Linked DNA regions of Bombyx mori. Each later gene encodes a partner of the first gene's protein in a complex. Links are inferred from orthologs where the notes say so. Each region holds a gene or a part of one and is shown in the gene's direction. Other genes may lie near its edges.

Region 1 (3,611 bases):
TTCCTCTTTATAATATTAGTACAGATATTAATTATTACAAATAATAAAAACGCTGACTTAGGTGGCGGTTTTTATTTGAACCAGTTCTAAATTATAAACTAAAATTCTATGAAAAATTACCCATATTTATCTATAATACGAAATGATATTAATTTGTTTTTCGTAGTTTCCTTCCTTCTTGCGTCGATAATCCTCAGTGCTGAGGGTCGCGGCCTCCTCTAATAACTTTCTCCTGCATCATCTTGCGCCATTCCTGCCTGTCCTCGGCTGTATGGATAGCAACGTGGACTGAAGTTTTGAGAGTGGAGCGTATTTGGTCCGACCAGCGCATTGGATTTCTGCCTCTGTGCCCTCTCCCGCATACCTTGCCTGTTACCAGCAACTTTTCCAGATTCTCACCTCTCTTTCTGGCGATATGTCCAAAGATCTCTAAACTCCTCCGCGCGCATGTAGTGCGGAGGCGCATTGGAATCTTGAGCTCGGTAAGAATGGATTCGTTGGTTCTGTGTTCTGTCCAACGAATCCCGAGCATTTTCCTCCAGCACCACATCTCAAACGCGTCGATGCGTTGGCGGTCGGCTTTCTTGAGGGTCCAAGTCTCTGCGCCGTAGAAAAAAATGCCACCCAAGCACAGTCCATTTGGAACATAGCCCTCTTTGCCATACTGATTCGCCTTCTGAGGTCCTTTTCGGAGGTTCCATTACTAGCTATGACGGAGCCCAGATAAATGAAATCCTCTACGTCTTCCAGGTTTAGCTTATTCGTAGTTTAATAAGTTATTATTGTTAGTAGTATTATTTACTAGTCGAAATATAAATTTTTAATTATCTTATGATGAGAATCTTATATTAATGAGAAAGATATTCAACAAAAATAGTTTCGTTCTAATAAATTAGCATAGTAATAGTACAGTGAACTAGCAATTTATTTTGGTAATTCTGAATTTAAACAAACATATTGATGAGAAGAATTCATTTTTACTTTGCAAATTTGTAAATACACGCTCTGTAGCAATGTACGGACATATAATAATATGAAGAAACAATAATAGCATCTACAAATATATATGTACTACGTGGTACTACATTTAATAAAATTAATACAACATTTATTAATTAAATTAATGAAATTGTGGTTTTAAAGTTTTAGGGGTGTATAAAAAATGGGGGGCGCTGAAAAATAATTGATATTCAAAGGGGGCGGTAAAAGAAATAAGTTTGATAATCACTGCTCTAAGTATTTCATTTTTAAATACTCATAAAATGGGTCATTTCAAAAAATAATATGACATGAAAAAAATCATATAAAAGACATATTATTCACGTGCTCACGTGAAAATAAAAACTATGATTGCATTATAGCTGTTCGCCTGTGTTCTTCTTTTTACTTTACACAAATAAAATTTCAAATTAATCAAAAATCAAATTGCAAATTTAATTCTCGTAAACTGTTGAGTGGCGAAAAAGCCAAGTGGCACGTCATATTTAACTGTCAAACATAACAAAAAAAGTTTGGATTGACGCCAAAAAAGCCGAAGCCGCCATTATTGTGAAATCGTATTGTAAAAATAAATTTCACGTGCTCACAGTGAGTACGATACAGTAAACAAGCTAATTAAACTAAAGTAAATCATGGCTGACAACGACGATCTTCTCGACTACGAAGATGAAGAACAAGCAGATCAACAGACTGCTGACGGGTCTACCGAAGTGGCGCCAAAGAAGGAGGTTAAAGGATCCTACGTATCCATCCACAGTTCTGGTTTTAGAGACTTCTTACTTAAGCCAGAGATACTCCGCGCTATTGTTGATTGCGGTTTTGAGCATCCTTCCGAAGTTCAACACGAATGCATTCCGCAAGCCGTCCTCGGTATGGACATACTTTGCCAAGCCAAGTCCGGTATGGGTAAGACAGCCGTGTTTGTTTTGGCAACATTGCAGCAGCTGGAACCCTCCGAGAGCCACGTTTACGTGCTTGTAATGTGCCACACCAGAGAGTTGGCTTTCCAAATAAGTAAGGAGTACGAGCGTTTCTCGAAATATATGTCAGGAGTCAGAGTATCAGTATTCTTTGGTGGTATGCCAATTCAGAAAGACGAGGAAGTCCTTAAGACAGCATGTCCTCACATTGTAGTGGGAACTCCCGGTAGAATTTTGGCATTAGTAAACAGTAAGAAACTTAATTTGAAACATTTAAAACACTTCATCCTTGATGAGTGTGATAAGATGCTGGAATCTCTAGACATGAGGCGAGATGTGCAGGAGATATTCCGGAACACTCCTCACGGGAAACAGGTGATGATGTTCTCAGCCACATTGAGTAAAGAAATCAGACCTGTGTGTAAGAAATTTATGCAAGACCCAATGGAAGTTTATGTAGATGATGAAGCCAAACTCAAGCTACATGGACTGCAGCAACATTATGTGAAACTAAAAGAAAATGAGAAGAATAAAAAACTCTTCGAACTACTTGATGTATTGGAGTTCAATCAGGTGGTTATTTTTGTGAAATCAGTACAGCGCTGCATAGCTCTGGCACAACTGCTCACCGACCAAAACTTCCCTGCCATTGGTATCCACAGAAATATGACCCAGGATGAGCGTCTCTCCCGCTATCAACAGTTCAAGGACTTCCAAAAAAGGATCCTGGTTGCAACAAATTTGTTTGGCCGGGGAATGGACATTGAAAGGGTAAATATTGTCTTCAACTATGACATGCCTGAAGATTCAGATACATATCTACATCGTGTCGCCCGCGCAGGAAGGTTTGGTACCAAAGGTCTGGCCATTACTATGATATCTGATGAAAATGATGCCAAGATCTTAAACCAAGTACAAGATCGTTTCGATGTGAACATTACAGAGCTGCCTGAAGAAATTGAGCTCTCTACCTACATCGAAGGACGATAGATTAAGTTTCATTCCCATACCTATTTACTGCTGTGGCTCATTTTGTTGGTAATTAGACTGGCCTGCTTTAACATTGATTTGTAATACATTGAGCCACATTTACTGTTTAACTAGGTTTATCTAATTAAAGTGACATTTCATATTGTGATATCTGAGTGTTTTATTTCTTTACCAACAATTTGGGAGCTTTCATCGTTATCAGTAAGACAGGCTGTGATATGTTTAACTTTAGAATGTAGACAGGAAATTGATATATTTATTTTGACCATGTTCATATTAATGTAACAAAATATCCATTTTGAACATATCATTTTGTCTTTATGACTTCATATTTTTATATTCTTAGACATGCAAAATTTACTGATATTGGATGTTAATACTTCACACAAATACTACTGGATGCATTTGGATAAAATTTCATGCCTAAAAACTTCAGAATAAAACAAGCCATAATTTAATTTAGAGTACCTACGTACAGTGTGAGAGGTGGGGTGCAAGTAGTTTCAAGAAATTACTGTTTTTAGAGCCTTGCTATAGGATAATTATACAGGAACGCGACCAGTTTTAACTGAAAAGTACAGAAGGCCCATGTCCAGTAACTGGTATCCACTACAAAATCAAAATCTATAATTGTCTGCCTACACTATATTGATTTAATTAAACTAAATTAGAAACACGTCCAAAGATTTTTTTATTATATAA
Region 2 (3,948 bases), on another chromosome or scaffold:
ATGAATATTAAATTACCAAACAAAATTAAATTTAGAAAAAAAATATATAATAATTGGAAACCCTGAAAAAGGTAGCAAGAATTACAAAATAATGTTGATTTATAAAGCCCAACGTGTGCCAACCTCATATCATAAAAATTTAAGAGACCATCCCCGGAACAAATCTCCAATACCATGAATCCGATTTCTGTGTATTTGTTGTATTTATGCTAACTACTCACCCTTGTTCTTCCAGGCTATCTTCCAACTCTGCACACTTGACTTCAATCTTCCTTTTCCTCTCATGATCGAGTATTTCTCTATTTGGTTGTTTGTTTGACGCCGAATCCAACTTGGCGATCTCATCTTCAGTCCGGTAGTTGACGGAGTCTTTTGTTTTTCTTACCGTGGCCCAATTTCTCTGTACGTAGCCATTTGTACCGGAGCCCCGTGGCGTCGTCAACCCGATCCCATTATACATTATTTCGTATTATATACCTAAAACCAATCGTAACACTTACGGTGTGCAAATTGAAGGTTCTGAATTAGGCCACGAGATTAGAAACTCCCAGAAAAGTTAGTAAAATAATCTATAAATAACAATTTCTCTTTCAAAAAATGTATCAACGTTAATGATCAATAACTCACAATATTATTAGATTATATGTTTATGTTTAAAAAGAATTGAACACGACCATCTTGCTTGGTTTTGATTTTTTTAGATTGAATTATTCATAGACAACGAAATGGCTATGAATTTAGATGTTTCATTTTATCTATAGTTTTTAACTGACAATGACAAAGTCAAGCAAATCAATTGGAACTTTAGAATAACTTTTCTATTTTGAGATCGCTAAACAATAAGATAAAAAGCATAATTTTTGAATAAAAATAATACATGTAACATGATTTAATGAGTTTTCGGCAAACAAAATGAAATATATGAAAAGAAACTTAGGCAAATGTCAATAAAACCACAATATTTTTGTTTTAGATAAGAGTACATAATAATATAGTGTAATAAGAGTTTTAGTAAGAGTAAAGTGAAGTACCTATTTCATTTTATTAAAATGTTTCTAACCTATAATAGTAATGAGTCAATAAATTAATACGTGATTTATTAAGTTGATTTGTGGAAAGATAGCTTCGTCTATATAGCTTCCTTTGTTAAAAAAATAACCTTAGGTCTTACTAAATTTCTGTTCTTATACAGGGTGAATTTGCCTTAATTTTATCTCAATTCGTCATAAAGAGCTATAGAGCTAAATCATTTTGGTTTTTTAAAATAGAGCATGGACACTGTTCCCTTTGCCTAAAGAGTGTATGCCGCAAAAAAATCGCTGCATTCGAAATAGAGGTTATATGTAGCTTTAAATTGTGTTGTTTACCTATGGTTGTTTATGTTTCTTTTTCAATTAAAATATTGCATGGCATCTAGAAAAACTGACGAAGTAGTCTAGTTTCTGAGCAAACACAAAACTTTTACCATGTTGAATAAAATGTTGTATAACACTGTTTTATCTCAGACTTTATCGCCGTGTGGTAAATATTTAGTGGCCGGCAATATTTATGGAGATCTTGCTGTATTTGAGTATGTTATTTGTATTAAATTTATAGAAGTATATTTTAATATTTGGAGAGGTTTATAAATTCATTCTAAATTTTTGTTACAGCCTAGATCGTATTTTAAATCCAGTACTAGAATTATTATCTGTTGAATACAACAAACCAAAACATATACATTCTATAGATTCAAAAAAACAGATTTGTAGTCTAGTTTCAACGGAAAAATTCCTTATAATTGGTACCGTTAATGAAATATGCGGATGGGACTGGAAGGCTGTTGTTTCTGTTAAATTATCAAAACCTGTATGGAGCATAAAGATTCCTTCCCAAACTTTTTTGGACTACAACGATGTGAACTGCATGTGGCTATCTCAAGACAGTGAGAAGCTGTATGCTGGTTGTGGAGACAATAATGTGTATGTGTTTAATTTGGAAGATGGGAGCCTTATTTCAACTTATAAGGGACATAATAATTTTATTCATTCTATTCATGGAAAGTAAGTTGTTTGTTTGTTTATTTGCCTTATTTCAGCTGCTAATATATTTGCCCTGACAGTGATATACATATATGCTTATGGCTAATATTACAGTAATAAAGAAGTTATTTAAAAAAAAATTTCAGAAACCAACAGATTATTTCAGCAGGCGAAGATGGTTTGGTTATGCTTTGGGATACTAGAAGTGGAAAATCACACAATAAATTGGAACCGCACACTAATAATAAGGTCAGCAGACCTGATATTGGCAAGTGGATTGGCTCAGCAGCTCTTGGAGATGACTGGATTGTAAGTTCATCTATCATCAATCTAATTATTCATACATATTATCATTAAAATGCCAGAGGTGAAAATAAAAACAAAAATGAAAATCAGTGAAAAAATTATTTTTGTTTAATAGGGAATTTACATAATAATATTGTGACTGATATTTTTCTGTGTGTGTTGTAAAAGGCGATTTATTTTATTTAAAACCCTCTTAAGCCATCAATAGCATTCCTAAGGAAAGTTGTGTCGAAGTCGTTGTGGCCTAAAGGATAAGATGTCCGGTGCAATCATATCTAGCAATGCAACAATGTTAGAATCCCACAAGCCAGGTATCAATTTTTCTAATGAAATACGTACTTGACCAATGTTCACAATTGATTTCACGGTGAAGGAATAACATTGTGTAATGAAACTCAAACCTGCAAAATTATAATTTGCATAATTACTGGTGGTAAGACCTCTTGTGAGTCTGCACGGGTAGGTACCATCACCCTGTCTATTTCTGCAGTGAAGCAGTAATGTGTTTCGGTTTGAAGGGTGGGGTAGCCGTTGTAACTATACTGAGACCTTAGAACTTATATCTCAAGATGGATGGCGCATTTACATTGTAGAATTTTTTTTATTGCTTAGATTGTGGACGAGCTCACAGCTCACTTGGTGTTAAGTGGTTACTAGAGCCCATAGACATCTACAACGTACTGATGTCTATGGGCTCTGGTAACCACTTAACACCTGGGTGATAATTAATAATGGAATATATAAAAAATTTACAGGTATGCGGTGGTGGACCTCGATTGTCTCTGTGGCACCTTCGTTCATTAGATGCAGTGACAGTCTTTGACATTCCAGACAATGGGATTCATGTGTCATTCTTTCATGATGACTGTGTGTTTGCCGGTGGTACTTCTAAACATTTTTACCAAATGAGCTACTCGGGTGAGGTGAGAGTAGAACTACCAGTGTCTGCCACGACCATATACAGTGCGGTGCTAAGAACTAAATACAGCACCCTGTTAAGTTTAGCCGGTTCCAGTCCAGAAATAGATTTGTGCACGTCTCTTAATTACAAAGATCAAGTTTTACATTTTCGATAGTTATAAGCATATTTAGGTGGAAAAAATTAAATGAAATTAAATCGAGACCTAAGTTTTATTATATGAGTCGACTATTATCAAAGCCGGTAATGTGACTTTTGGAAAATTATTGGTAAATCAGAAAAATGAATTATTGACTTTGTATTCCATTGGTAGTCACAAAACTCTTATGAGCGACATCTTAGATAAATAACAGGTTAAGTATTAACCTTTATTTAATGCAGGTTTTGAACCGTATTCTTTGAAGGAGACTATTATATTCAAATCAATCTGTATTGACATATCAATAACATTTTTTTGTCCAAATGCACAGATTGCCACCTTTGATAATAGACGACTAATATACAGTATTTACTAATATTATGATAAGTTCAGTAAAATTTACTCTAGGATATTTAAATAACTTAATTTTTCATTTTCTCAGTCACCTGTACATATTTTGAGCTTTTAATGGACAATGTAAAATATGCATGTATGCAACATTAAAACATCAATAAAGTTTTTTGGATAACAATATTTAACCAATTGCGCCCAGTCGGTACTTG

The links. Proteins that work in one complex are often made in the same cells at the same time.
Region 2: ATP-dependent RNA helicase WM6 (region 1) and THO complex subunit 6 share a complex: the UniProt entries of both Homo sapiens proteins name them as parts of the transcription/export (TREX) complex. The link is inferred for Bombyx mori from reciprocal best matches to the Homo sapiens genes DDX39B and THOC6.

What each region holds. Positions count from the first base shown.
Region 1 is NC_085122.1:1,018,056-1,021,666, forward strand, and holds ATP-dependent RNA helicase WM6, read left to right. Parts: upstream 1-1,239; 5' UTR 1,240-1,631; coding exon 1,632-2,909; 3' UTR 2,910-3,059; downstream 3,060-3,611. UniProt on the Homo sapiens protein: Involved in nuclear export of spliced and unspliced mRNA. Component of the TREX complex which is thought to couple mRNA transcription, processing and nuclear export, and specifically associates with spliced mRNA and not with unspliced pre-mRNA.
Region 2 is NC_085116.1:3,183,656-3,187,603, reverse strand, and holds THO complex subunit 6, read left to right. Parts: upstream 1-1,289; 5' UTR 1,290-1,466; coding exon 1,467-1,570; intron 1,571-1,652; coding exon 1,653-2,042; intron 2,043-2,167; coding exon 2,168-2,330; intron 2,331-3,082; coding exon 3,083-3,403; 3' UTR 3,404-3,448; downstream 3,449-3,948. Other genes in the region: serine/arginine repetitive matrix protein 2, read right to left, coding at 222-460. UniProt on the Homo sapiens protein: Component of the THO subcomplex of the TREX complex which is thought to couple mRNA transcription, processing and nuclear export, and which specifically associates with spliced mRNA and not with unspliced pre-mRNA.